3 linked regions of the Drosophila melanogaster genome follow. Changing the gene in region 2 together with the main gene of any one other region gives a genetic interaction. Each region holds a gene or a part of one and is shown on either strand. Other genes may lie near its edges.

Region 1 (10,541 bases), on a different chromosome or scaffold from region 2:
AAGTCGAGTTGGCAGAAATGTGAGAGCTTTATAAATGATAGGTATTTAATTTCGCACAATAATGAAATTGCTTGATAGCCTATCTGAAAGATAAGGTCGCCAGATAGTTGACTTTTATTGGCCTGCTTTCAATACTTAAGAAGTAGATTTTGCTTATTTAAATTAGCAGCAGCATACTTAAAGGAAAATTAAAAGATTTAAACCATACCAGTATGTAATAAACCAGTAAGTAATTTCCATTTTTTTTTTTAAATCAGCAAAGAAGCGTCAACACTTTTTCCGTTCATGCCATCCGCTCATAACTACATTTCCCATCCGATCCGATCCGGTTAACTTCCACACGAGATAAAAAAAAAAGCCAGCAGATATTTCTTCAAACTTAACGTTATTCATCAGAGCCAACTTGCACACACACACACACACACACACCATAATCTTGGCTTGTTCTGTTTTCGGTTTTCTCTGTTTGTTTCGAAACAAACCGGTTAAACGCTTTTTGCTTTTAGCAAAAAAGCAGCAGCAGCGGCGAGGGAAAAAGAACAGCACATAAAACAGAAACCGTTTAAGCGTACAATAGGCGTAGATAGCTAAGTTATAGTGGGTTTGGTGGAGCCAAAGGGGGCCTGGGGGGCAGATTGGGGGACGGGTCAGATTGACTACAACTAATTATCAACCCCAACGACGAATCGCGCACAGCTGTACAATGCAATCAGTTCAAATCGCTTTATTCTCGGCCTCCCATTTCCATTCGAAACATTTTTATCACCAATCGAATACTGCTCGGGCAAACATTGTAAGCATTTTTTTTATTGTTTTTGAGCTCTTATCAGCGGAGGTAAACCGGTTTCGACCCATTTCGTTTCACAGATAAGCCCAAAATGAGGAAACACCTAAACACAACACCAGAGCATGATAAACAAAACTAAAATCTAATCTATTTAAAGCCGAAAATAATGCAATAATAAACTTTCAGGTTAAATAAATTTGAGACCTAATTGAAACTAATAAGGATCGAATCAATTTGGTACAAAGAAGACAAAATATAATTATTATGCTTTATATATCGTGATGTAAATTATTAAGAAATGGTAGATATGTTGGGTTGTCTCTTCCTCATCATCTGTTTAATTCCCCAACTAGCATCGTAGTTAATTATGTATGGTTTGTTTGCCATTTTCAGAGAAAAAGCCCAGTAAAATTCAACTTCGGGTTTTAGTTAGTATTAATTTAAACAAATGTGTTAAATTACAGAATTTGAGCCAGCTTAGCTATGAGTAATTCGACAGCGTATTTTATGTGCATGTTTGCATAGCTTTCAAAGTTTTCAACTTTGTGTTCTGTTTGCTTTGGGTAATTAGTGAATCAGTTCTACTACATATTTCCCAAAGAGGAATACGTATAAATAAAACACATAATATGTATGTATAGAACATCGTATCGGTTTACAGGCTGATAACAAACTCGAACCGAGAAACGTGACTTGGAGCGGTCAGTAAGTCCACGAAACTCGGGCTATTCCAACTATTTGATCAAGCTATGCAAACATAGGCATTGGGAATGCACGATGCAACCGAGTTGCTAAAATATAACTCAGTAGAATGTTAAGGTCATTAAACATCTCAATGTTATCGTGCATCCATGACAAGCAGTTAGTCATGAACATAATTCGTATAGTAATTAACTTTTAGTTATGAATCTCTAAAAATATTTCAACGTTTTAAAATTGAAGGTTTATCAAGAGCAATATTATATACATATGTACCCACGTATACATTTAATATATGTCCTATGAGACTTTCTTGAATTGATAATTAGAAACTAATTTTCCATATTTTAATATACATTAATTTTCATTTTGTTATTCCATTAAAGGCCAGTGCTCTGCAGCTTAATAAAAACCATGTTAAAGCAAGAAAAAAAGCTTGTGATTTATCTTCGGATGAATGAAAATGAAAAGGAATAATCGTGTTCATTGAGCATCACCTTTTACCGTTAATTAGATGGCGATTAGACATGAAACACCGAAATTCTTCGACGAGCGTGAGAAGCTTTAAAGAAGAGCTTTGCGAAGGAAGAATGAACGAAAGAAAGACGAGAAGGCCGAGCAGCTGTTATCAAGAAAGTAACTGTAAATAAGCCACCTGTAGACATTTCGCATGCTCCAAAAAAAAATGAAGCGAGGCAACATGCCTTCCCTCCCTTTTCTTTTCTGTCTGTCTCTCAATATTAACGCTTTTGTTCGATACTTATGCCCACACTTTAATTAAAGCACGCACTTTTTTATAGAAAATCATCGAAATATTCAGCTTTGCTTCACTTACCTTGAGATTTTGTCCAAATATCTCGTTTCTTTGTTTGGCCTCTTTGTTGTGGTCCTAAGTACCGTTTACTGTTATATATTTATTGTAAACTGGCTGTGGTTGTTGTAATTCCTTGCAGCATTGCTTTTCACTTTACTTCACTAATGCACACACACACCACACACTCTCATATATGCAGAGATAGAAATGGGGAGACCATACACGAACGAAATTTCTCGTGCAGCAACTTTTTCTCTCTTTGCTTTCTTTCTTCTGCTTTATCTTTTTTTATTTTGTGTAAACCAGTATTTTGTGCCTTCTTTCACTTGTATGCTTTACGATGTTGTTGTTGTTGTCGTTGTTGTTTTATTCAAGAAATTGTTGAATAACGGTTTCTGTTAGCCGCTATGCTTTCGTGTTTGTTGTTGTTGTTGTCTTGAATTTCACTTTGCTTTCGCGTTTCACGCATTGCTGCTGCTTCTTCTTCTACGTCGCCGTCGTGTTGCTCCTTTTCGTATTTTACATTTTTTTTAGCCGTGGGAAACCTGTCCAGCAGCCTTAAAGCCGCTGTTTTTGTTGCTTTTCGTTTTTTGGCTAAACATTTTCATTGCTAAAAGAGCACTTGGGACTTTTATTTTCATAATTCATTTATCGCGCTGTAGTTGTGCGTATATTTATAAAGATAAAAGCAAGCAAACAGCGCAGCAAAATTCCAAATAAATAAAATTATTGTTGCTCAACGTTCATTGCCACACACACTCACACACGGCCAGACACTCACCAACACCAGCAGACAACGAGTCAGACACACACACATGCATACACTTTTTTTGGGGCAGCGTTTTTTGTTGTTTCAAGGCAACTTTATTTCTTGACTCTTTTTTTTGTATTTTCCTCCCCCGCAGGGAAACAAAGAAAATTTCACTTGTCTCGCACACTCACACCACGAAGCGCGCACACAGACACGGTGCCTTTCCCAAAGGAAATATTATTTAAAACATTTATTGACACAATTACAAGGTTTTTGCTTCTTTCGCTCGACGTTGTTATTGTTGTTGCTGTGGTTGTTGCCGCTTGCTTGCTTTTTTCTTGCTGTTGTTGTTGGCCTACTTTGTGTGTTGTTGCTGTATTTTTTCTCTCCTCTTTTTTTTGTTGCTCCAACTTCTCTCCTTTGCTTTGCTTGAAAAAATTTCACACGCGCCGTTTCTTTTTTTGTCTCTTCTCTTTACGTAAATTAGATTGCCATTTGAAGTTATCTTTCGAGGGATTGCACTTGGTATTAAGCTATATTATACATATACGTGTTGCACTACATTATATTTATAAAAATTATGTGTATTCGTTTGAAATTTTAATTGTGTTTTTATAAAAAGAAAATCAGACGAGACGAACGTATGAACAATGAATGACAAAAAATAACCTGGGTTTAATGGGCTAACATTTCGCGTCCAACAGCACGCTGAGTGCTGTTCGGCGAGCAGCTGATTTTGCAGTTTTCGGTATTTTCAGTATTAGTTGGTATAATTACAGTTTGATTTGAATGTGGTTTTAGGGTTTTAAAAAATGTGTTTTTAAACTCATTTTAATTGATACAACCAACAGAAGAAATACAGTCAATTTTCAAACTAACTGATATAACATAAGTATTTCATGAACATCGAACACGCCAATAATTAGATTATTGTCAATTTTAAACGAATAGTTTCTTCATATTAATTACTTAACTGGCATTACAATAAGCCACATTTAAATTGTGAGAAACTGTGACCATGTCAGTATGTTTTTAGATTTTATAACATTTAAAAAAATTGAATTTGTTTATTAGTTAAATGCATTTTATTTTACGCCTAATTTTGGTATATTTCAGCAATCCATATGTGGTCACACTATATGTTTCCAAAGTGGCGGGACAATTGGCTTCATGTTTCGTTTTGTTGCGTTTGGAAGTTAAAATGCCAGTGTAAGCATTGTTTTGTAAGCCCGAGTTGTGGAGAACTAGGTGCATGATCTATTCCAGATGGCCTCCATTGACGAGGGCTCGCGCGTTGAGCGGAGATTCTGCGCAGTCGGCAACCACACGCTGCGGAAGCCGTATCGCCAACTGAACAACAAATATTTGGTGCGCTTCGCCTGTTTGCTGAACAGCGAAATTCGGGCGGGCAACCTCATCTGCTGCAAGTGCTACACGGACCTGGTGCGACTCTACCGGAAGAAGAACGACAATGCCAAACGGCACAAGATGGCCAGGGAGACTGCCGCGAGCATTACGGACGTCAGCGGCAGTCAGTCATCGTCGCACCAAAGTGCGCCCTCTTTGCATGTCTCTGGCCAAAGTTCCGAATTCGGTGCCTCATACAGTGAGGGGGGCATTGTGACTCCCGATGAAGAGCTGTGCTCCCACAGAAGCTTAAGTCAAGATTCAGACAATGTGCCCACTACCAGCGCTGCAGCGATCCAAAAACGCCAGCTTGCGAGGGCAAACCTAATGGTGAAACCATCGCAGAGGCTGAGCTTGGCCCAGACTACTCCGGATTGCGACGACTACGACCCCAACTCGAATCTCAGTTTGAACGCCGTGAATGGCACGCGACTGCCGCACATTCAGCCGATTCCAAAGAGGCGCCCGACCGTCCTGGACAAGCAGTCCATGGATATTTACTTGATGGGAACCACAGGTGGTTAGGTGATTTTTTTAAGTTGTGACTAGAGAACAAGATACATATGCTAGTTGATGCTAGTTTCTAAGTTTCATTTAATTAGATATTTTTGTACGCTAAAATAAAGAAAGACAGAGATGTTAGCTTGGCAGGAGCCACAGAAAGATAGCCGCCATTTGGAGATTTCCTTGAAGTTTATAATTTTAACATGTTTAATGATATTTACATATATTATATGAATGAAGTACATTTATTTTAAAGGCACCACTGGAAGAGGTTCACAACTTAAGAAAAAAAGAGGCCATAGATATTTATTTGGCAGGAGCACCAATAGATAGCCGACTTAGTTTATAACTTAATGATGCCGACATTTTCATGAAATTAAAAAAATAAATAACTTAACAAACAGTTTAAATTTATTCACCTTTCTGGGCAGCAAATGGAGCGAAGGTACTATAAATTATCAATAATAAATCTTAATGGTGTTGGGACACGTTTTTAAATGGACAGTGCAAAAAAAAAACTTTGAAAATGAATTTCATACTATTTAAATACAAATATGAATAATAATGGATATTATGTAATATTTAAGCGATATATTTCCAACTATAATCGAAATATCGATATCTTCGGCCCACTCGACAACCCTGAGCAACAACAAGTACGTGGTGCTGGGCTATAAAAACAAATGGAACTGCGCTGCAGTTGCTTTAGTTGACAGAATTCTCGACGCAGTCACAGCAAAAAACCGAAGGCGGCTAGAAATCAACAACTTTCCAGTTCGAGTGTTTCTAAATTCTGGTTATCCCGTTGAGCAAATATCCTAAATTTTAAGCAAAATGGCTGGACGCGATGCGGCTTCCAATCAGTTGATTGACTACAAAAACTCCCAAACGGTGAGTGTGTTGGTGTGCGAGCGCGAGAGAGCGCAACTGCATGTGTGTGCGTGTGTGTGCCGGCAGGAAAATAAGAAAACAAGAAAGGCAAAAAAGACAAAAAGAGAAGGGAGAAGCATTGTACGAAATGAAATAAACAAAAAACAAGACAATTTCAGTAACGATTGCTATGAGCCTGTACTTTCCATTAATTCCATTAATTATTAAAATGCGAAAAACAACAAAGGCTTGTCCAACAAATGCCAGTAATGATGAAGTCGTTTCCCCAGAGTTCGAAGTTCAAAAGCCGCCTCTCTGGGTCTTCTATTTATTTGTAGAAATCTTATCAGAAGTGAACTGATAAACCTTATCAGTGTGGCAATTCTTATTGGATTTGTGTTTTCTGTACCTAATCCAAAGTTAATTTTATTTTCCCTTTTATTTTTATTTTCCTTCTTAAGGAAATCCAAAGTTTAGTCTAGCTAACCTATTTTCTAACCTTGGGCGACCTCTTACCTTAGTCTATTTTCATTTTTCAGCGCTGTTTTCACTTAGCACTTCCAATTTCATTTGGCACTTGCATTGTGCATTGGATTTGAGTATTCGAATTTGTTCGTTTGCACTTTTGTGTTAATTATTCGCTTTCGCTTTTGGTTTAGATTAAATGCATGATTTCAATTGTGGAATCGTGCCCTCTTAAAATTTTGAACAAATATTGTTTGTTCACACTCGGAAAATTGTACTTTCCTAAATTCGTGGCATTCCACAATTGCAACATTTTATACACTGCAATCATTTTTGAAATCAAATATGCTGTTACATTTTATAAAAAGGAATGAAATATAACAAAATCAATAGTAAGCCTCACCCATAGATACTGTATCTATATATAATTTACTCGGCAATTTCCCTGTGGTTTTCCCAATGCCCTCTAAAAATCGATAAATGAAATAATAATTCTGCATAGCTATTTGTCAGCCAGTTGATAGGCATCCAAAACAGCTAAGTAATTGGCCCAAATAGATTAGATGTATCAGCCGTATAGATATTGTTGAGTGCCCACATTTGGTTAGTAACTAAAGTAAATTTCCATTGGATTTCGATACTTTGTAAGTATGAATTGTCAGTTCTCAAAGAATACAATCATTTTTTGTTTTTTAATTTAGTATACCTTTTTTTTACCCTATTCAATTAAGGCTAAATCTAGAACTTAGTTCTCGCATCAGCGATTTAAGTGCATTTGTGCATTGAGTCACGAAGCCAATTACTCCACTAACTAAAAGCAATCAGCGGTCATTATTTTATATAAACAAATATAGATATGAACTTTTTGAGAAACGCGATCGCTGGATTGCACCGCTTGTAAGTTGGAAAATTCGTTGGGAGTCAATGGACTCTGCGGCGACCGGCTCAATGTTGCACAAACTGGTTGCAATGCGCATCGACTGCGAGTGATTCGAGTGACAACGAACCCGGCTTTAAACCCGTTTTGGGTTGAGTGCGGAAGGCTAGACCGCTTCGGAAAATGCGTGTGCCAGTGCCATAAGTCAACGCAAATTTTCTTTCTCCAATTTGGTTATGCAACCTGGCTGGAACGCCCGGCTAAAAGCGACTGTATGTGAGAATATGTTTCGAACTGACCCAGAAAAGAGAGCTAGCTCCACAGTTGGTTGGTTGGTTCGTGTTGTTTTAGTCGATTTTGACCTTCTATGACGAAACTGTGAAAACTGCATTCTGTCAGGCAATTAAATGTTTGCCTTTGTTTCGGTGAATAATCATGGCAACTGGGTTCTTTGTTCTTTTGGGAATCTCGCAATCGAGTTAATTTGTTATCCAAGAAATTCGAAAATGCAAGGAAAATACTTGGAATATTTTGCAACGCAATGCATATTGCGTAAGGTCATTGTGAGTCGGTTAAGAACCCTATAAAAATCCTTATTTAAAATCCTTTAGCTTATTTTCTATGCATTCTCATTCTCGAATGAGTAACCTTCTGCTGATAAATTATGTCTAGAAGGCAAATTTATCTCATACTATCAGGTGCACTGATCTTATAAAGCCGCCTCATTAAGTTGCTGTTTGCCATCTTTGTGTCATTGGCATCGCCAACAAGTTGCAATTAAAAACTTTCCTGTAGACTGTGTTCTTTGCATTTCTATTCGAGATCGGTTGCGGTTCTCTTATCAGTTTGCTCTTCGCTGGAGATATCTACAACCAAATACATACATACATATATAAGAACGAAGGCTCTGATAGGAACCAGATTGACTTGTTGGACGTGGATCGCAGTTCCAGCGGTTCCACTCGCATTGTCATTCCCGGTTTGCTTCACTTATCGTATCTGCCCCCTGAAGTGGCCCCATATTAATGTCTCAAAGTGCAAAACATTCCGGCTGAATCGGCCGAATCTAAAGGGTGACTCCAGTATAAATTCCAGAATGATAATTTCGAAATTATATTCATTTCTTCGTTTTTATGTAGCGCTTTTTGTTTGTCAATAAGTGGGTATACTACTGGCCTGTCTAAGCTGATTTTATTATTAAATAGATACATATATACTTCTAGGAACTAAGATTTGATAAAGTCAACTACTAATTCCTTAAACAATTGTAAAAGTCTTAGTGCCCAACCGGGTAATCCCAACCCAAGTGCTATATGTATCTAAATGACTTTGTTGTGAAATATAAACAGTAGCTTAATTTATATGTTTGACACACCACCACCACCACCACCGGTGGCTTCACTTTGATAAACAACCTTCTGTATAAAATTCTATATGCATTGTTCTAGAAATGCTTTCGAATTAGAATTTCGCATGGCGTTGTTCAGGTTTCAAATACATTAGCTAAACAGTGCGCATTGGCCGGTGACAGTTTTGCAAATTGTTGGCTGAGTTAATTTTATAATGAGTGGCTGGCCTGCATGCGAAATAAACGATAAGGTGATTAAGGAGCGGTCTCGGATTACTCTAGGGAAATGAATTGAAAACAAGGAGTATGATTAGATCGACTGATAAATGACAGGACAGCTGGTGGGCTAATTGATATTTCAGATGGACAATACACTTTTATTAGCTTAATGGAATGAAATAATTAATTGATCGCCAGCTAATAAACTGTGTAACATCATTTTGATGTTTGAATACTTTCATTTAATTGGTTTTTTCCTTGCACACGGATTTGATATCTTGACATGTTAATGCAAAAAACCCATACATCATCACTATATTAAGGCCTCAAGCTCTTAAGAACACCTGGGATCTCTTATTTTAAATTTATATGCACTGCAAAATGACCCCCCGTGTAGAGATAACGCTCTGCAATCTTTATGTTAATGTTTTTTTCTTTTGGTGAAAATCGAATGATTAAATGAAAGTCCGCGGGCCAAAAATGAATTATCGCAATAGGCCCGATAAGATTGTAAGACACTTGAACCAATATATTGTTGCTGAATGTTGCATAGCATTTTAAAATTAAAATACATTTGATTAAACTTGACTTTCATTTGCTTTTGCAGGTTTCTCCTGGTGCCATTACCACCGGCAATGGAGCACCCATTGGAATCAAGGATGCCTCCCAGACGGTTGGTCCGCGAGGACCTATCCTGCTGCAGGATGTGAACTTCCTGGATGAGATGTCGCACTTCGACAGGGAGCGGATTCCAGAGCGTGTCGTGCACGCCAAGGGAGCTGGTGCTTTTGGTTACTTTGAGGTGACCCATGACATCACCCAGTATTGTGCCGCCAAGATTTTCGACAAGGTCAAGAAGCGCACTCCACTGGCCGTGCGATTCTCCACCGTGGGTGGTGAGAGCGGATCTGCGGACACCGCCCGCGATCCTCGAGGATTTGCCGTCAAGTTCTACACTGAGGATGGCGTCTGGGATTTGGTTGGCAACAACACGCCGGTCTTCTTCATTCGCGACCCGATCCTATTCCCCAGCTTCATTCACACCCAGAAGCGCAACCCGCAGACGCATCTGAAGGATCCGGACATGTTCTGGGACTTCCTCACCCTGCGACCGGAGTCCGCTCACCAGGTGTGCATCCTGTTCAGCGATCGCGGCACCCCCGACGGTTACTGCCACATGAACGGCTATGGCTCGCACACCTTCAAATTGATCAACGCCAAGGGCGAGCCCATCTATGCCAAGTTCCACTTCAAGACGGACCAGGGCATCAAGAATCTGGACGTGAAGACCGCCGATCAGTTGGCTAGCACTGATCCGGATTACAGCATTCGCGATCTGTACAACAGGATCAAGACCTGCAAGTTCCCCAGTTGGACGATGTACATTCAGGTCATGACCTACGAGCAGGCCAAGAAGTTCAAGTACAACCCCTTCGATGTCACCAAGGTCTGGTCGCAGAAGGAGTACCCTCTGATTCCTGTGGGCAAAATGGTGCTGGATCGCAATCCCAAGAACTACTTTGCTGAGGTTCGTTTTTTTTTTTTGTTTCAAATAGATTCTTCTTCATTTGAGATTAATGCAATCAAAAGAAAGATAACTAATATGGTAATTTTCTGACCCTCAGGTGGAGCAGATCGCCTTCAGTCCCGCTCACCTGGTGCCCGGCGTTGAGCCCTCTCCGGACAAGATGCTGCATGGTCGTCTGTTCTCCTACTCGGACACCCATCGCCATCGCCTGGGACCGAACTACTTGCAGATCCCGGTGAACTGCCCGTACAAGGTGAAGATTGAGAACTTCC
Region 2 (10,541 bases):
AAACCAATTTAAACTCTTACGCTTATTTGAAAATGTCTGAAAAATATCCAATCCCTCCAGAAAGGTATTCGTGCTAAAACACACAAATGCCAGCGATGTGGCCCAGCTTCGAACAAATGAGAATGCATAGGGAATTATTAGCATTGCCAGCCCTCCGATTTTCGCATAGAAAACTGTAAGTTATGTAGAAGATTAGTAAACTTTGCTGAATATATCAATGTAATTACTTACCTGAGTGGAAGCAAATAGAGATCAGATAAGCATACGACATGGTTGACAAAATGTAAAGCAGAAACAACACTGCCACGTAAGCAAAGCAGATGGAGCCCAGGGCCTTGTATAAATATGCAACGACCAGGACAAAGATCATAAGCAATGTGTAGCACACAAACCGAATGAGAAAGAAAGTGAGGCCGTTGAGGAAACTCATGGGCGTGACCAGGTTGAGAAACTCCTTCAGTCCGTTTTGCTTCTCCTCCACAAAGGGCACCACAAAGCTGCTTAGTAGGACCACATTGAATAGAATGCTGCACAGTGTTCCGAAATATGTCAATCGATGACTATCCATGCTGATGACCTCCATGTTGGGCATCGAGCTGACCACCACCTCAAAGTCTTTCCCGAGCTCCTGGTATTTCATATACTGTTTGTCCAATATGTGTTGCAAGGACAGGAATCCGGAACGAATATAATCATCATCATCTGATAAACAAAAACCAACATGCGGGTTCGTTAAACGGTAACAATGGAAAAATTGAACACGCACCTATCTGGTGATAAATTTCCTCGTCGTTCACAAATCGCTTTCTGGGCGAAATGCGCATCTGATTTGAGCTGAGGCTGTATCGGAACTTTCTGTCAGAGCCACGGTTCGGTACCCGGTGGAAGTCAATTGCGAAGCAGCTTCCACGGCACTGTTGCTCCATCTCCAGCTGCATCTCGAAGCTGTTGTTGTTGGGCCGAAGTCCTGCGCAATGAAATATTGTTAAATACAATCTAGAAGATAGTATCGCAAATATATGCAGTGAATTTTGTATGTTATTTTGTATGATCGTTATCAAAAGTACATATAAGCTTTATATGGTCGGAAACGTTTACGTTTACCATACAAACTTTTCCACATATCTAATTTATGAGATAATTTGGAAATGCACTTACGCTCTGGTATAATTCCCAGATCTACACGCAGGAGATCCATAATGTCCTCTACATTGGGAGAGATGGGTGAGTAGTAAATGTAATCCAGCTCATTACCGGGAAAGTACAATTCTCTAAGAACCATCTAATAAATAAATTGAAGTCCAATGATAAGGATTAGTGTGGTCACAGGTTTGTTATCACATGCATACGTATGTACAAATATAAAAAGCAGATAAAGTAGCAGTGCGAGGGAAACTTACTTCATTCTTTGCTTCAAACTGGTTAATTTGGTGAAGCACGGGCTTGACGGACCAGTGGAGGTACGCGGTGAGTACTCCGGCAAATCCGGAGCAGATAAGGAGCAGGGGCAGCAAGTTGCGTTGCAAGTAGAGCAAATTCTTCCGCAGAAAGACGAAGAACAGCGGGGTAAAAGTCCCAGCCATTTTCTGTTTAACATCAACTTTTCCCTAATTTTACTTTGCTTTGTTGAATGGCATTTTTTCTCTATCAACGTCGATAGTAATACTTATCGAAATGGGAACCGCACCCGCTCCTGAGACTTGAGTCACTGTGGGAATGAATTCAATAACATTGGACTTGTAGTAAAAAACGGAGGAACGCTACAAATAATTATTGTTTACTGATAAGTGTACAGTCTACTCGTAGCCAAAGCCAATGGGGGTCATAAAATAATTTTAAAAAGTGTGTAAACTTGGAATTTGTTTTTTATTTTCTTGTATATTTCACATTTTTAATTTGTTTTTTTGATTTATAAGTAAAATAAATATTGTTTAATTATATTTCATAAAAAGTTGCATTTAATTAAGCAAAGAACTCTTAATTTGTACCTTTAAAGTAAGAAATTTAACTTATTCCACAGTGTGTAAACAGTATATGTATTGGCTAAGATTAATACCATGCAGTTTCGCCATTACGGGCCATTCTTCTAAACTTGTTATAGCCATTTTATTTTGGTTAATAACAATAATATATATTAAAATTTATTTATTATATTCAGTTGGAATAATTTCAATTTGTGATTAAATTTTGCAGCTTCATTTTATTTATCGTTTAATATATAGCGTAAAAATAGCCAGAGTAGGACCACAGTCTTCGATATATCGATAGGCAGTGCCCTGAAATCGAAGTCTGTTTATTATAAATTTTTTATCATAATGAGCGGCTCGCAATTATTCCCAGTGAATCTGAACAACCTGAGTGCCAAGGAGCGACACAACTATATACTTAGTAATTACGTGCTTAACCTACCGAATGAGACGGAATCACGTCGGCACAAGCGAGACATCGATGTAATCCGAGAGAATCACCGCTTCCTGTGGGAGGACGACGAGTTGGATAGCGACACCCTAAGCTGGGAGCAGCGCTTGGCCCTGCGATACTACAGGAAGCTATTTAAGGAGTACTGCATCGCGGACCTGTCCCGCTACAAGGAGAACAAGATAGCGCTGCGCTGGCGAACGGAGCAGGAGGTGGTCACCGGAACCGGGCAGTTCCAGTGCGGCAGCCGGCATTGCGGGGAGCGGGATAATCTGCGCAGCTGGGAGGTAAACTTTAGGTATATCGAAAAGGGTGAGCCCCTAAATGCGCTGGTCAAGGTGGGTTCCAAATGGGTTTCCGCGATTGTGTCACTAATGGGAATTCCATAGGTGCGGCTGTGTCCCACCCACACGGATCAGCTGAACTACCGCACCAAGAAGAGAGAATGCAAGAAGCGGAGACGCAGGGAAAAGGAGGAACGGCGCGCTGAAAAGAAACGTAAGCGTCGAAAACTCGATGTTGGTCACGAAAGTTCTGGCGAAGAGGAGGAGGAGCCTGTCGAACCAGCATCCGAATCCCATCCAGAAGCCAGCAAGGAGCCCACAGACTCAAAGGATGCCACCACGGCAGACGAACAGATCTGGCAACAACAACCCGATATAAGCCGAGAGCAAGCCTCCAGAGAGCAGGAATTCGAGCGATATCTAGAGGATCTCATTTTTTAAAATACATAGCACATTTATTTGGATTCAACGTAGACACTAGTGCTCTTTTTTATAGTTACTGGCCGCTAGATGCGTTCGCTTACGAACTACGATGTACATGTACACTCACATTTACAGGATTATTCACAAGAACTGCGTGTTAAAACCGACACCAAATCTAAAGTTGAACTGGACATTAAGGCTGTGACTCTGATTGATTTTTGGAAACATTTCCGAATGGCTACATTTCAGGCATGCACCTAGTTCAATCGCTATTTCTATATCCATCGAATGCAAATCGAAGGTTCGAAAATACAATACTATTTCACCTTACGTTTGTGGTCAAAACAAATTGTTGAAATCCAGCCACTGAAGAGTTTCTAAATATAAATCGCTCTAGAATAAATATCCCCGATTGTTTACACTCGACGAGTAGAGAAATCACGACTGAGCGCATCCGCTTGAACTAGGTGTAGAAAAGACTGTTCTAATTGTATATAGCATCATTGAACGGAGAGGGATGGCGGCCGGGATTACTGCTCTTTGGGCAGGAGCTCAGCGAAGGCGGCTGTGGGCTTGAAGGCCGTCACCTCGCTGAAGACCATCTCCCGCCACTTCTCCACCGGCAGCTCGTTCTCCTCGAAGCTCTGGTCGTAGAGCGCGGCGGTCTGCTCATCGGTTGGATCGTGGTACTTCTCCATGTACGGATGGGCCAGCGCCTGCTCGGCGGTTATGCGCTTGTCGGCGTCAAGTTCCAGCATCTTCTCCAGCAAATCGATGGCCAGCGGATTGGCACCGCGGAAGATGTCGCGGAAATTGCGGCGCGGCATCACCGGCAGTGAACGAATATAGTTTCTAGCGCTCTCCGAGGAGATGCGGCTCATGAACTCATCAGCTGGCGTGCCCAGCACTTCCATGATGAGGTTCAGCTGATGGATGTGATCGGTTCCAGGGAACAGCGTGCGCCCAGTCAGCAGCTCAGCCATGATGCAGCCCACCGACCAGATGTCCGCCGTCTGGTTGTAGTGCATCCAGTTGAGCATGATCTCAGGCGCCCGGTACCATCGCGTTGCGACGTATCCGGTCATCTCGCTTTCTGCGGGACGGGCCAAACCGAAATCCAGGATGCGAAGCTCACAGTCCTCGTTTACCGCAATGTTCGATGGCTTTAGATCACGATGGATGACCCCAGCGCTGTGGATGTACTTCAGACCGCGCAGGATTTGGTAGACCAGAAACTGGACATGATCATCAGACAGTTTCTGCGTGCGTATTATGTTGTTCAGATCGGCGTCCATCAAGTGGGTCACCATGTACACTTGCTGGAACTGATCCAGCGAATCGGCGGGCTGTCCTGGATGAAAGACATCCAGCAGACCAATAACGTTCTCGTGATCCATGTGCTTCAGCAGCCGCAGTTCCCGATAGGTGCGCTTCGCATGGACCGCCGACTGGAAGGGCCTGGCAAGCTTCTTGATGGCCACCTTCGTGCTGGTTCCGCGGACCACGGCCTTGCAGACCTGGCCGTAGGCACCCTGACCCACGGGTTGCAGGTTCTGGTATGTTTCCGGGATTTCCCACTCGGTGCGATTGATGTCCAGCTTGTAGAATTTGGCCATTTTGCGCGACATTTCGTTGGGATGTTCTGTACGCTCAGGTGCGGTGCTATAATGTTATTAATCCGCTGGCTCTTTTTTTGGGCAGTTCTTCTTCTTGCTTGTGGGATTAGTTATCTCTGTTCCACACTTCGCGGCCTCAACATTGCTGGAAATGAGTAATCGTACCGGGTATTACGGGAAAACGTAGCTAATTTCGGGTATTCCTGCCCAGATTCATTTGTATCTGCACAAATAAGTTGCAACTTACATCTCTCGGATTTTATTTATGCTATTCCGCTGCGCCTACACCTTTTCTGATTGGACAACAACGCTGTCTTGGCTATCGATAACCGCAAATGGGTCCGATTTCCAATCAGCTGCTGCTCGTTTATGCGTTAACATGGTTGGCTTTAGGGTGTCCCCTACAAAAATCAGAGTCCATCGAGGCAGCGGATCAATTCACAAAGCTTCTGCGCAGTTTGGTTGACAGAGTACATGATCGTCACAAACAATAATAATAATTAGATTTTTATATGCAATTTTGATTAAAGTTTTTAAGATTATATTACAATTTAAATACTTTCAATATTATTTGGAGAGTTCTATGTATGTATTCTTTATTATCACACCTTTGAGAATAAGAAATATTTAAATTAAAAATGCATTAATTAAAGCAAAAAATGAACTTATATGAAACCATAAACTCGTGAATAATGTGGTAATATCATCCACTTCAGTAAATACTTAGTTATACGTTAAAAATATAATTTTAAGGTAGAGTACTCCCTCGTCGACCATGGACATAAAGCTAATTTTAAAGCTTAACATGGGCCGGTAACAGAAGGCGGTCAGTTGGCGCAAGCTGGTTTAGTTTCAATCGGTCGCTCGTTGGCAGAACATCGAAGGTCCGGGTCGTGACGCTTTTCGCCCGAACGTTTTTTGCACGAGTTTTTTCCATACGTATTTGTTCATTGACAAAAACTCAAGCTGCGCTCTGTGCGTGCGTGTGTATGTGTGTGTGCGAGTGAGTGTGTGTGTGCTGGCGCGTCTGTGTGAGTGCGGTGCTTTGTGTGCAGAATAATTTTTGCAAACATTATGTAAATGCGCAAATTAAAGTTCAATCGACGCCCGTTTTGAGTACGAAACCAGATCGCCTTGCTTTAAGTGCCACGGAGCTACAGTTTCTTTTCGTACCCAATTTTTCAAAGATATACTCCCTCAGTAGGCAGGCACGCACACAAACATACACAGGATCTCAAACGATCCCCCGGATATACCTTTACCGTTAGGAAAATTCAAAATGGCCACGACAGCGGCCGCAATGGCCGCAACGAGTGTAGTTGTTCTGGATCGCGGAAACAATACAACCTGCACCATCAACTTGCACGGTGAGCAGAATGTCTTGAAACAATGATAAACAACAAATGAATAGCTGGCGAACAATTAATCATAATTAAGAAGACACCACCAGCACTTTGCCAAAATTTTGTTGGCGTTATTTTTAGCGGATGATTGGCGCTTAGACTCTTCCGAAACCGAAACCCGTTTCGCCCCCTATTCTCGATGTATTCGCGACCTCTGGAGGTTATCAATTCGTTCTGGAAATAACCTTGTTTTTACCTTTCGCTGTTCTACGCACCAGCCAGAGGGCCTTTGCTATCTTATCAGCCGAGATCGTCGCAATTTAGGCGCTATATGTACATATATGCCCCCACTCGATCCAATCGCTGGGGATCAGTTGGGTTTCGGTTTTGGAAAAGCTTAGAGCTTGGAGTTTGGATCTTGGAGATCGGATCGATGCGGCTCCTACTCGCAGCACATTTCGATTAGGCGTCATATATATGTATATGGTTCGTACATATATGTATACAGGTCCCTCTCTATGAGCACCTATGTACATATGTATGTATGTGAGCTGGCACTGGTGTACCCAGCGTACTTTCAACAATTACGACTGCCTGTGTCTGGGCTGCCCACGTTGCTTTCCAAGTCGCAGCCGTTTGAGCAACAGTCAGACGGCCAGAGACACAACAGCGTTTGGAACAGACAGCATATCGTACACCGGAAGAAATAACTACATATATATCTAATGGAAATTCTTGAGATCTTCATAGTTTCTTATCGGAAAGAGTTTCAGTGGCTAAGGCATTAAGGATTAAAGATCTTTACTAAATTCACTTGCAATGATTTTCTTAAAGATATTTATATGATCCCATGTATATGATTATTTTTCGTGTTCCACTTACTCTTCCTCTTCAATTAAATGGCCTGTGAAAAACTAAGATATATACTTAAACTGATGCATTGTTTTCCTTTCAGTGTATCTTATCACATGTAATTCGAACAATGTTAATTATTAGTTTTCGGAGGAGCTTTAACTAAACTCGACACCAAAGTGTTTCCAATCATAATAATCAAGGTGCCAGAGCAGTGGCTACGGCCTGTCGAAAGCCCATCGCACATTGGGGCCAACTGAGCGAGATTTTGGGGAATAGCAGCAGCTCCTCCCACGCAGCCAAGTGCTCACCCACCCATTGGCCGTAGGCCATCGTCATGCCCAGAGATCCATACCCGTAGCGTAACCAAAACCAACCCATATCCCAGTCTTTAACTGTACCAGAGATTCGGTCTCAGCCAGTTAGTTTACTTACAGGCCAGTTACTTACTCTGCGATTGTGTGCGTGCAAGTGTGCGCGTATGTGTGTGTGTTTGTATGTGTTAGCCATGTGGGTTAGAAGTGTGTGCGTCATGTACTTTGCTTTTTAGGTTGTTGTTGTGCAATTCCCACAGTTGATCCAGCTTCGAATTCATTCATTGATTCACAAGTTCCGATGTTACTGAAACTAATTTCAACGACAATGCAATAAAATGAGATTAAATAAGTGTTTATTAATAGTTAGTTATTAATACATAGTTATATTACATTTATTTCTAGTTCTTAACTTTACTATATCATAGTACGATTGTACAAAACTGAAAACTAGTTAAGTTCCGCTGAAAGCTTGAATTGAACTCGATTTACTGGGGGCATAGTTAATACCTCTTGATATATATTTCTTCTTATTTGATTAGTACATGTAGTCCCTATATCCTTCTAGAAATCCGCACATCTTTAGTTATTATTCCACAGCATTCCTTATGTATTTTTTAAATATTTGTTGTAAATATTATTCGAATAAACCGAATTATTTGCCTACCTTCTGTTTGCAGGTGCGACGGTCGTGTCCTGGCGGGTAAACAATCAGGAGCAGTTGTTTGTCAGGTGAGTGGACTGAACTCTGTCAGGTAGCACCCTTTAAACATTGCTCATACGCCGCGTTGGCCAAACTTTAAGCCCGAACTTACGCAAGCCCACGGTGTGCTGTGCTGTGCGTTGGTCATGCAACCAAAAAAGTGATTCGCAAAGTTTGCATCGCTGGTGGAGAAGGAGCAGAGAGTGGGACGAGTCCAGGGGGAAGGCGGTTGACAGGTTGGGCAGCAGCAGCAGCAGCAGCAGCAGGAGCCGGAGGAGCAGCAGGAGGAGCTGCCTTAGCCATTCTGTTTGGCGGCAAAATGTTTTTGTATGACACCCAACAAAAAACACGTCGGGACCGAGCGGGCCCAAACGTCGAACCAGCGAACCGAACCAAAAGCGACCGAATGGCAAAAACACAAAAACACTGGGACAGCGACAGAGACGGGATGGCGGGGAAATGCCCCAGCTCGCCAACTAGGAGCCGTTGCACTTGCAACCAAGAGGAGCTGCCTCCATTGATGGCCGTTTTTTTTTTTTCGCCCTGTTGCTGCCTACTCCTGTTCTGGGCTTCCCAAAGCCCCCCTTCCATATCCAGCTCCCCTCCCTTTGTGGCAAAACAATGTGCAAGTTTTTATGAATGGAGTTTTTGGCGCGGCCAGCTAGATCGATAAATCCCCACTACATGGGGAGGCCCTCCACACAGTGTTGCACAGTGGTTCGTTGTCCCATCAACTTTCGGCCAATTCCCGGGTTCTTGGCCAGCTCCCACACAAACAGAAACAGAAACACAAATACGAATACAAACACAAATACAAATACATTGGAGTGTGTTAGCCCCTCGTCGACGCTCTCCTAACTTCTTTTTTGTTTCGTCTGCTGCAAAGTTTTCGACGGTTTTTGTGGCCAACAGTCATTCGGCATTCGGAAACCCACTAAAAACTGGCAGTGGTCGTGGACAAGGCGAGCTAGTGAAAAACTAAATTAATTATTTGCCGGGTTCGAGACGGCCTGGGCTAAAATAGGTTTATTTCGAAATTTACAGAAATGGAAAAACTTTGGTTAAAGACACTTAACATTTAGATTGTTTATGTTCTAAATTACGAAACAACTCGTATAATTACGTGAATCCTTTATAGTAAATTCCTTATATATATTTTTCAAGGCAACTATTTCAAAGACTGTCAGTAATTCTTCCGCTTTCAAGTAAATGCCGAGCTGAAATCTCAGAATATTAATGAAATTTGGCCATGCCCAATGCGATCCACAGCTGAAAACATTTACAAATGATGCACAGAACATGGAGGAGCAGCTTAGGTAGATCCCGGGGCAGAAGGAGTTGCTTGATGGATGCGTCGGCAAATTAGCTGAGACGAAACCCAAGGCAAGTCCCATCTCGCGGCAACGTCATCCTCAGCGACAGGAGAAAAACAAAACACACACACACACACACAAAAAGGGGCAAGGAGCATTTTGCCAGACACTTTTTTCTGCTAATAGCATTTCTGAATTTCTGAATGTCTGTCTCGGTCTGCAAGCGTTTTTATGACTGGAATATTTTCGAGTAGCATCTAACCGAATTAAACGAGCCTTTTCTTTTTCCTTTTCCTTCTTTTGACTCAAACCCATCTTGTTTTTCCACAGCAAACTAGCCTCATTCGATGGCAAGAAGGCGATACGCGGTGGGATTCCCTTTGTCTTCCGTAAGTCTGCCAAGATCCAGCAGCTTTGCTCAGCGATTAGTTCATTTTTGGCCACCATTTTAGCTCAGTTCGGTGCGTGGTCCTTTGGGCCGCAGCATGGATTTGCGAGGATTACCAGGTGGCACCTGGAGAGACCGCCAGACAGGCTTCACAATGGCGATGTGGAGGCCATATTTTCGCTGATGGACAACGATTTTACGCGATCCATATGGAATTATCAGTGAGTTTGAACACTTAAATTGCTAGATAGAGATTGTATTACTAGCAACTAAATTCTTTTCCTTCAAAGGTTTCGCATCACTTATAGGCTGATCCTGCGCGAAAAGGAGCTGCACTTCCACATCGGCGTCTACAATCCCAGCAAGGAGCTGAGCTTCACCTTCAACATGCTGCTGCACACCTACCTAAAGGTGCCCGATGTGCGCCGATGTCAGATCACCGGCCTCCAGGGCTGTCACTTCATCGACAAGACGCGGGAGAATGCGCTCTATCAGGAGGGACGCGAGGTGGTCACCGTCAATGAGTGGACCGACAGGATCTACCAGCACACGCCGCAGGAGCACGTCATCACAAACGTGGTGTCCGGCAGGAAGATGAGACTGCACAAGTACAATTTTCCCGATACGGGTAAGTAAATGGCACAAAAGGATATTTTAAAGTGTGTGAAGTGATATATTTGATATATATTCAGTCATCTGGAATCCTTGGATCGATCGATCGCGTGAGATGAGTGACTTCGGGGACGACGAGTTCCCCAACATGTTGTGCGTGGAGGCGGGCAATGTGACATCGCCGGTGATCCTGCTGCCGGGCACCGCTTTCGAGGCCAGCCAGATCCTTCAGGTAGAGCAGCCGGTGCTGGAGTAACCCCATCTAACCCATCCTA
Region 3 (10,541 bases), on a different chromosome or scaffold from region 2:
TCACCATTTAATTGGCCCAAAGACTGCGACGGCATCATTAGGCAAATGGCCAAGAACAAATCTCAAGAACGTGGGTGTTTTGCCCAGCTCCTCTGATTTGCAGTTTCTCTCAATTTCTCTGTTGGACCGGACTGGGTGGGAAGCCTTCTGCTTAGCAACTTTTGCGCTTTCCCTAATTGTTTGGACCAACAAAGGCGGGGACATTATCGATTTGATTTAGTGAATCACGCTCTGCGGCTTTTTCTCCGATGAGCAGGCATTAAAAGGCGAAAACTTGTTGCTCGCCTTGATTGCGCTCAATTAGCATTTGTTGCGGCCAAATTTATGCAAATGTTAAACTTTTCCGTATTTTGGAGGAATGAACCCCGTACCGATTCAAAAACCAGTTGCGATCGCAATGAGATGAGCCGATCTGAATGCAATCTCTCACCGTCTGGAGCTTTCAGCCTCAATTAGAGCGACAGAGATCGCGAACGAGAGACCTTTCATAAATTCCGTTTTTATGGCTGCTGACCGGCCAAATTTCAAGTTTAAAAAACTCCGAATTTATCACCTCAATTTCAAATAATAACCATTCCGTGGGTTTATACGCACGTTGGCCTGACCAGTGAGTGTTCTAGATATATATTTGTTAATTTTTCTTAATTCACTAGCTCTGCTCTTTTCGGCCTGTCTTGACTTCCTTGGTCGCAGCTCACTTTCACTTTTCATCAACCAGATCAGATCCGTCAATGTCCCCGACTTTTGTTATTGTTGTTAATGTGCCGCAGTTAACGCATTCCTGGGACCCCGGTTATAAATCTTGACTTAATTAAAGACACGCGCGCGCGTTTTAAGACGCGATGAAAACGACTCATTGCGTACTGCCAATGAGGCGGAACTTTTTTTTGTAGTCTTCGGGGGCGGTCGGAAGTTGAGTTTAGAACTGTAAATTACGAGCAAAGATGCTGGGGATAGCCATCAATACCAATTGGGGACGAAGAGATGAGGATAGGATTGCGTTTGAAGAATAGATTTTAAAAACTGACGAGTTGAGAAACTAAAATGAACTTGTCATAAAATCTACATTTCAATTCAAACTACCTCATATCTTATTAACATTTACATCTATTTTTAGTATATTATTTATATATTATAAAATATTATCCACAACTTACACACACTTTGTGAATACGACGCTCGTGGTAAATGCTAAAGGCAAATGATAAATGCTTTTGAGATAAAATGTGCCTGTTTGAAGCAAGTGAAATATCGGCAAACTTCGATTTCCAATATTTTTGCAAGCAATCGCATTGGCTCCGCGATATCTGGCTCTCTTCCTGCACCGCGTTTATCAACAATTTCGATTGCAGAAATGCCAGCAAAAGCAAAAGAATCCAAGGTTTTTGTTTTTCGCCCCGAAACACGCGTCTCATGTTAAGGTAGTCGAACAAATTTGAGTTCTCGGGCCCCGAGTCACCTAGAAGTACACCTAGAGCACTTCTATCTTATCGCCAGCACCTACACAGCCGCAAAAGCGGGCGGAGTGTGGGGGAGGGAGCTAAACCAAAACACAGGCGCAAACAGAAAGAAATCGTTATAATAATAATAATTATTATTATTTTTATTTTTATATACAATATATGTGGGGGAGCGCGGCGGCAATAACCATAATTATCACAGACACTCGAGAGCCGCAAACACGGCAAATGGCAAAGGAACATTTATTTTTTTAATAACTACACCAACACATCGACCAGATTGTGCTTCATTTGGCTTGTCAGTGAGCGTGGGCACCTTCACATGCGCACGTGTGATAAGAAAGACTCTCGCTCTCGATGGCAGATAGTGGCCGCAAAAAAAAAAAAACACGAGCAAATAAAACAAATTTTGATTTCGAATTTTTTATCAAGCACCGAAAACGCCAACAACAAACGTAACTCAACTATTTTTCGTTGAAAATTTGCCAACAAATTATTTTGACCTGATAAGATGTCGTTTGTGGGTTTTCCTTCATGGATTGTATTCTTTATTTTACTTGCAGTTTTTCAGAATCGTGTGTCATTTTTGAATTTCAAAACTAATTGAAAGGCATCCAAAAAAAAAAAACAGTTAAAACATTTATTTTTTCGCTTAACTTATGAAGCTTTAGGTATTGGAAATAACTAAATTGTTATAGAATGAGATAAATAATAATGAAATAATAAAGAAAATAAATAAATAATATTATAATTTCTCTATTGATGGAACACTTAAAATACAAAAAAGAAAATAAATAAATAATATTATAATTTCTCTATTGATGGAACACTTAAAATACAAACGCGACCCAAACGTGACTACACCAAATAGTGTTAAAGATCTCGGAGGTTAATGATGGTCGTGATGATGGTCCGAACGTGAACGTGATCGGAGGTGGGGTCCCGTTATCTAGGCTCTGCAATGCCGAATGACCGTAATCGTTTATCGGCGATCGCCGTGGCTAAGTCCACGGCAAATCTGCGGTGATTATCGCCTTCGAATGGCTTTGTTTGTTATTTGAACCCACTGCTCCCTGGATCGAAACGAAATTCCCCTACTCCCTTCCCACGCGACCCCCCTTATGATCCTGCGTAGGTGTCAAAGTGCATTGCACGCATGTCCAGCTGCCTGAGGCGAGATAAGAGAAAATATAATTCTCTGTGCATTTGCTGCTGGCTGAAACAAAGTGCAGACAATTATCAGCAAATTCGCCAATCAGCCAGCCAGCCAGCCAGCCAGTCAATCAGTCAGTTAGTCGGTTGGTCGGTCGGTCGGCCATAAAAACTACATGCAAAAGAACTTGATAGCAGGGAAATGGATTTGAACTTCGCCGGAGGAGTACGGTTCTCGCGGGCCCTCAATATTGATACGAAAATCGCTTATCAGTGGAACGTATATAGTATTTGTGTGTGCGTGTTCGCCCGTCCGAGTGTATGGCAGCTACTCTCAGCATTAAATCGCAAGAAAAGAAATTGAAACATCGAATGATATCAATTGAAAGGGAACTGTTTGAACTGGAATCAAGACAGCGAGGCACAATTCGAAAACCCGGCCGATATCTCTTTTTTTTTTCTTCGGAATCCCAACGTTTGGCTCAGCGATGACGTCAGTGTGCATGGGTAACTTGCTTATTTGGTTCCCGACATGCCGGCTGCCAGTGTTTTTGTAATTGTAAATTATATATAATCAAATTGCCCTATCGGCATATGAAAGGAGGGGTTTACAGCCCATCGATGATCTGTAAATAATTACTAAGCCTTTGGGCGGAATAATAGCTCAATGAGCAAAGGTGGATATGATAACCAAAATTAGGTTTTATAATTCATAATTTATAATTAATTTAACAATGTGTCTCAAAAGTATGACTAACCGAAAATCACTTATAATGTAATGAGGCATTCAATTGGATTTTATGACGCTCATAAATATAAGTCAAATGGTTATCACAAACAGGAAAAATTATTCTTAATACAAGAATGAAAATCTTTCTACCCATTTCGCAAAGGTACTTTGGTTTTAAAAACTAGTTTTCAAACCAAAAACATTCCTCATTGCAGTAGATAAACTTACATGAATCGCTTTTTAGCTGAGCTTCCGTTTTCTCGAAAAAATGTTCTCAAAAATACACTACTCAATAGAAACCGACGAGTTTTGAACTTTTCTGGGGATGTCAGGTCGCTGGCGAGGTGTTTGCACAAATGTTTCCGAGCACACACACGAAAATCTTTGCAATTGAGATGCAAATTGAATTATTGTTTGAATTCTGGCTTTGTTTACGCCGCTCGTTCGATAAACATCGGGGCGAAATGCAGTCAGTGATATGTTTGCTGTTGTGTTTGTCGTGTGCTTTAGCTTTTTGTAAATATAAACAAAGTCCGGGCAGGCGGGGGCGGGGATGTCGCGGCCGCGGTTGGCGCAAATAAAAGTTAAAAATAAAAACTTATAATTGTCCGACGGCTGTTGTTATTTTTATTATTGTTGCCATTTATTTTTGGAAATAGACGTTGAATTTGTTTATATGGAGTAAAAATAAATTATTGCGCGTAGTGCGAGAGCAGCGGGCCAGCATAATTTCTCGCGGCGTTCGATATAGGATCTCTATCTGTTGTGAATCGCTAGCGGAATCGGATCGTTGGATCGTTGGCTCGGAATGAAAATATCGAACTCGCAAACGGATCGCAAACTGATCTGCCGAAATCGAATCGAATCGAAATCTCAAAATCTCGAAATCCCGAAAACCGAAAAACTGAAGAAGCGGCGCTGCGGACGCGTACAAACGTACTGACGGATATGCCGTCGTTGACGTCGTAACGCCAAGTACGCACACACAGATACGCCCGCACACAGCTGCACTGCGCCAGGCTCTCTCGCAGTCGCACACTAACACACACACGCACAGCCAGCAACGAACACGTATACGTAGGCTGGCGGTGAGGATTTTCGTTTCGTGGTGAACTCACTCACACGCGCACACCTTCTAACGGTGCCTTTTGTTTTTGCCTTTTTGTGTAACAGAATATCGCACACATACATTGCCGGGCAATCGGAGAGCGGGAGAGACGGAGAGAGTGCGCAGCCGCTGACTTTGAGTTCCTACTCACAACGAAAGCAAGAGTGAGCGAGAGGTGGCGGGGGGTTAGAGTGTGGGGCTGGTGGGGGTGAGTGAGTAATTCGGTTTGTGAGTGAGTGCGTGCGGGAGTCGAACGAGAAACATATGGTTTTTGTTTGTGCCCCAGCCAGACACACACACACGCACACTCACCCACACACTTGATCAATCAGCAACAGTTACAGTTAGTTCCCTCGCCGAGCTTGTTGTCCCGCTCTGGCAACCTCCCATAAATGTTAATTATCCCCCACTTCACCACCCCCATTAACTACACCCCTGCTAAACATCGCTTTGGTTTCCGTTTTCCTTTGTATCCGTATCTCCCTGCCCTGCCAGGACCTCTCCCCTCCCGCTTTGCCCACTATCTGGTTTTTTTTTTGTGTGTATTTTATTTATTTGTCCTTGCCACTGGATCCTCTCTATAAACACCCACCCACCATTAGTTTTCCCCTTCGACGCAGCTTAATAAAAACTTTGTTGACCTGCGTTTGGCAGTAGAAAAAAAGGTAAGTATATACTCGATACCCTGTTACAAAAGATGGGGCATACTTACTGGCTGTGGTTACGCCTTTTAGAAACGCGAAGTATGATATAACTATCATTAAAATTAATTTCATTTTTAATAGGTTATATTAACTTTGGAATTGTGACAGCTGTTTAGCTTCTTAGCTCCGATGTGAACGTAAACTAGAATGTTGAACTTGATTCAGAAAAAATAAAGCGTAAATCCTTTTTTCATTTGTTACCTAATTTTGTGCGATACAACATACAACATATCCTGTAATTCGTCTGCTGGCGGGTACACAAAACAAACAGGAAGGAATCGGAAGGGACAAAGAGTAGGACCCGTAGGATCCTAGGGTGTGCGGCAACCAACGATTCATTGTTTCTGCTCGATTGATGATTGCCTATTCAGACAGAGGTAAAGTAGTTGTATGGCTGAAGTTGGGGCTTAATTTGTGAATCGGACCGCCAGCCAGCCAAGTGGGATCCAAAGCCCTGTGACCCAGACCCTGTCTATTGTTGCGTTAAGCGAGATATTATTTACCTTAAACACGCTCTATTATGCAGGTTATGTAGGCGAAAAGATAATAAAGTAGGGATACATGTACCCCAACTTGATCCCAATAGAGTTTATTACAAAAATCGACTTTTATAAAAGCAGGAAAATTGGGAACGTTGTATGTGATTAGTCCACATCTGGGAGGCAAATAAAAGCTGTGGCTACTTTCCAGCCATCTATAGTTCTAACCCATATAGGAAATGATTTTGCGTCTATTTATACATAATAAAAATATTTCCAATAGCGAGAATTTTAGTGATTAGCCATTACCATATGGCATTTAAATCAATAAGAAAATATATTAAAAGATTTTCTTGTTTACTGTAAGTTGCGATTTAATAACTGGAGTGATAGTTAAAACACAGACAAAAGGACATTAAGGGAGGTGAAATCTTAAGGAATGCCCATATTGCAGTTGCAGTTAAGTGGACGCAACTTTAACGTGACTTTCCGAGTAATATGCGAATGCCAGATGCCGCAGATATTGCTCCGCCCCGTCGAGTGAATGGATTCTGTAAAAATCACGCATAACCGATACCAAGTGCAGCGCGACCAAGTTACCCGTTTTATGGCCCTCGCCTCTCGGCGGCGCCACAATGTTGCATTTTGAGAACCGAACCCAGCAGCAAACGATCCATGTGTGTATATCCGAAGATCCCTTTCTCACTTCCACTCCCATTACCATTCCCATTTCCATTTCCATTTCCATTCTGATTCCCGTTTGCAGTGTCCTTGTGACTTTTAACGCTTCCACTGGGTGCGACAACTGCCAACTGCAAACAGTCGTCGACAGTCTTAATTCAATAAACGCCGCCCGGCGATTTGCGCATGACCATGTACCCCGATGCTGTGCGCCGTACGGTTGATGCTGCATGTTGCATGCACTCAACACATGTGCAACATGCGGCATCTGCGGCAGTAGCAGCAGCAGCAGCATCGGCCTCAATGTGCGTTGAGTCCGACTTTAACTGCTTGGCAGGGGTTTCTTCAGGGGGATCTTTGAGTACCCCAAGCCAAGACAAGCCAAACCACGTGAAACTCATCTCCACGCCACTGCCCTCCGCCGATGATGTTTTTGTAAACGCTGCGTAGGTAATTTCATAAATCTCATTCAAATTGCCCTTCGTGCCATGCCCATCTTGCAGATACCCAGCAGTAGAACAGCTCCAAGTGTATCCGGAGGGTTGTAAGCATACGGAATTACAGGAAAAACATCTTTTTAATTGCTCGTCGAGATTTCGAAATTGAAAAATGTCTGCGGTGGTATCAATTATGCAAATGCTGGGCCCCGAAAAAAAAAGCAATTGAAGTTCAGTTCAGCTCAAGTGATTTCGACTCGGAAAAGTCTCCGGGGAGCTGGTCGACTTTCTGCCAAAAGAGAGGGGTAGGTGTCGCCATTAGCATTGCCTAATTACATTTCAATTGCTCGACTTAAACGGGCTTAGGTCTCCGACTTGCTCCCTAATTCATAAAAATCTCAATCAATTTCCCCGGGCATTGAGTGCAATTTAAATGTGATTAAATGCCAGCTTAAGTACGCTACTGTTCCTCTTACCGCTCCTCCTTTTCGACAACGTCGAATTTTGCCTAATCTAATCAATTTTCCCCAATGCTAAACGCCCACGCAGAGGCGATGCCTCTTTTAGCTACAGATTCTGGATGTCAGCCCAAATAATTCCACCTTAACACGTGTGTCATTGCGGGGCGAAGGATCGAGGGATTCGGATTCGGATACGAGATACGACGGTGAAAGCATTTCTCTGTTTGCATGACTGATAAGTTCCCAGCGAAGAAGAACGGATGCCTAACCTTCCATTTGGACTGGCTTAGAATGCGAAAACTGGCCTCTAATTGGATTCGACTGTCATCCCGACGTGCAATTAGCATGGCACGGCAAATAGAAAACTTTTCAACTGTTTTAGCACACATCCTGAACTGAACGACCTGCCGTCCGCAAAACTGTCACCGTTGACCATTTTCCCTTGTTACCAAATTGTTTTTTTTTTTTATCTCTTTACTCCTCACACTTTTCCTTTCGAGCTGGTTTGGGAAAATGGCACATATTTAATGCGAGAACTCTTTTTTTGGGGCAAGGACGAGCTGCAAAAAGGTTTATAATTGAAACTGATGACATACATTCAAGGTGAGCTAATTGAGTTCCCCCAAACTGAATTCGCATTCATTCATAAGTTGGCCCATTGATAGAATTATAAAGTGTGTGCTTTAGTATCAACTAAGTGTCATATCATTCGGCGAGCGACAGTGAGTTGGGTAATCATTTTGAAACATTCGGAATAGCTAGCGAACTAATTTCGAGTGGGTGGCATATCAATCAATGTTATTTATGCATATCCCAGCTGACACTGAAGCAAACTCGGGAACACACTAAAACATTCATGTACTGGGGAAAACTAAACTTTGAGTGGGAGTGAGCTGCTGGCCTCCGCTGCTCTAATTCACGGCATTGAAAAGCGGTTTAGGTTACATTTTAGCTTGTTATAACGCTTTTTGGGAGGAAAGTACGCTAAAAATAACGTGCATCACAATTGGAATCCATGGGATTAAGTAGGGTCGAAAATAACAAGAAACAATTAATAAAGTCCTAGTATTTAAAAATACAAAATTTAAGTTAATTTAGAACTTAGTCCTGTCATGGCTTCTTGCCTTGTCAAGTAAACAACAAATTCATCCGAAAATTTGTTTTAAATATTACTACGAAACACTGTTTATTGTGATTCCCGAGATTGTATAGTAGGAAACTTGTTGCCTATAAAAAACTGCAGCGACTGCTGTTTAATGTGCAGTCTAATGTAAACACTCGACAACCAAACTACCTTCTCCTTTTTTCTACCCAACAAAAACCGAGCTCGTGGAAAACAATACCAAGCATCCTGGCTGGAGAGAGAGGGATGGGAAAAACTGGTGGGAAAGCAGACAGGCAGACACACGGAAATTGACAACTCGCAGAGCAATAAAGAAAAGTGTCCCGCACGCACACACACACACACACTCACACACAGCGGGAGAGAAATCGAGGAGAAGAAAAACCCGAGGGGGTGGCGGCGGCCTGATAAGTTTATACAATTTCCACCCACAGAACCTGAGTTATGCTCCCACATAACACAATATTTCCCTAATGTCTTTATTATGTTCCATTGAGTGTAAATATTTGCCTTGCACCCACACACACAGACACACACAAACACAAACTTGCGCACGAGTGCGTGTGTGTTTGTTGGCCAGCTTCATAATACGAGGCACGTGCTTCATAAGAAGGTGAAACAAGCCGAAAAACAAAACAGGTTCTAAGGACTCACCTTCTTCGGGGAGCTCGCTTTCAGCAATTTTGTCGACACAACAGGTACAAAAGATTGATCTGCAAAGAGGCGGAAAAATACGAAAATGGAAATTAGAAAATTGGGTGGCACTGCGGAAGGGGCGGCTTACGACAAAACTCCGAGCTGCGAAAACGCGTCCGTGACGCCAGCGATTTATGATGCTCAGTTCAATGCACACGCGTACCACGTTGACCTCCTGCATCGCGCCGTTCGCGCCCCCCGCCCCGAAACTCCAGAATCACTAGAATCTCCAGAAGCCCCAGAAATCGGTGGCAAAGTCGGGGTCCGCACATGTGCGGCATACCCCCTGCAAAAATCGACTAAAAGAACTCAGATAACGAGTTGGATAACCGAGAAGCTGCTGCGTGAGTCCCAGACGACAAGTGAGCAGAGCGGGTTTAAAGTTGAAAGGATACCATAAATCTTGTAAGCTGATGCAAAGCGACATTCGTCGAAGCCGCAAACAAAGCCACTGGATGCGTGGGGAATCCAAGGAGTAGGGTGGCGGAACAGTGAGCCATCTGAAGGCTCAACAAGTGACGCAGCGACTTGGGATGCTGCTCGGGGGGAGATTGGGTAGTGATATATAGAACCTCGCACTTCCATTAAGAATTGCTATTTAACTATCTACTAAAGTATTCCGCGCGTTCTTCTTGTTTAATTTAGTAGCCAATGTAAGGAACTAAGAACGTAACTATATTAAGATCCATGTTGGATTATAAATATAGATAATCTTTGAAGTTTTAGTAGATTGAGTTCTATAATCCCAGTAATAATGATGAAATAAAATCTTTACACCCCTGACCTATAGAAAACAAAATGTTGTTCATCGAATCAGCATTTGCAACGTGAGGACTATTTCTCAAACTAATTTCCATCAGATGTTTGTTGCATAAAAGATACTCAGGAAATCCCAAGCCAAATGAGGCACATTTCCCCGGTCTGGATGGACGGGATTACCGATAGCGAGCCCGGTCTCAAGTGGGCGCATCCTTTAGCTGCTGATTTGGATGGCGAGGTCGTTTCCTGGTTGCCATTGCATTTGCAGTTGCCGAGCCAGAAGTCAAATGGCATATCTAGCATAACATTCTACTCGACTGCGGATTCTCTGGCCGAGAATGTCTGGGCATCGGAATGGAGGCACCCAAGCCACTTGAGCCCCGTATCCGTGTGCGGTTGTTTCTGTTTCTGTATCTGTATCTGTTTAGGAGCCTGCAGCCACATTTTATTGTTGTCTTTCTCACCTAAAGCCAACCGAAGCGGCAGCAGCGACCATAAGGCGCATCGATGTAGAAGCATCTTATGGGTTTTCATACACTCGGCGAAAAAATTATGAAACTACTTAAAAGTACACAAAATATATAAAAAACCATATTAAAACTGAAAGAAGAATACCAATATGTTAAATAACGTTTAATATGTATTCAAACATTTTTGGTATGAATAATTTTGGTTTTAAAACACAAAATGTGTATCACTTCAGTGTAGGTTATGTGAGTACATACTATACACATATGTACATATGTCTATA

What was found.
Region 1: of p38b (region 2) and Cat, changing one suppresses a phenotype caused by changing the other (phenotypic suppression), as found in Drosophila melanogaster (one study listed by BioGRID).
Region 3: of p38b (region 2) and Mef2, changing one suppresses a phenotype caused by changing the other (phenotypic suppression), as found in Drosophila melanogaster (one study listed by BioGRID).

Annotation. Positions count from the first base shown.
Region 1 is NT_037436.4:18,816,990-18,827,530, forward strand, and holds the start of Cat (catalase), read left to right. Parts: upstream 1-5,614; 5' UTR 5,615-5,796; coding exon 5,797-5,853; intron 5,854-9,348; coding exon 9,349-10,269; intron 10,270-10,366; coding exon 10,367-10,541. Other genes in the region: HipHop (HP1-HOAP-interacting protein), read left to right, coding at 4,318-4,983. UniProt on the Drosophila melanogaster protein: Catalyzes the degradation of hydrogen peroxide (H(2)O(2)) generated by peroxisomal oxidases to water and oxygen, thereby protecting cells from the toxic effects of hydrogen peroxide.
Region 2 is NT_033779.5:13,775,212-13,785,752, reverse strand, and holds p38b (p38b MAP kinase), read right to left. Parts: upstream 5,065-10,541; 5' UTR 4,989-5,064; intron 4,887-4,988; 5' UTR 4,754-4,886; coding exon 3,656-4,753; 3' UTR 3,144-3,655; downstream 1-3,143. Other genes in the region: Eato (engulfment ABC transporter in the ovary), read right to left, coding at 15-173, 232-702, 767-967, 1,159-1,282, 1,401-1,583; CG16890 (uncharacterized protein), read left to right, coding at 2,316-2,756, 2,808-3,143; CG9008 (uncharacterized protein), read left to right, coding at 6,021-6,108, 7,931-7,982, 9,597-9,655, 9,719-9,875, 9,945-10,282, 10,347-10,498.
Region 3 is NT_033778.4:9,925,330-9,935,870, forward strand, and holds the start of Mef2 (myocyte enhancer factor 2), read right to left. Parts: upstream 4,287-10,541; 5' UTR 3,571-4,286; intron 1,541-3,570; 5' UTR 1,158-1,540; intron 1-1,157. UniProt on the Drosophila melanogaster protein: Transcription factor that could be a key player in early mesoderm differentiation and may be required for subsequent cell fate specifications within the somatic and visceral/heart mesodermal layers.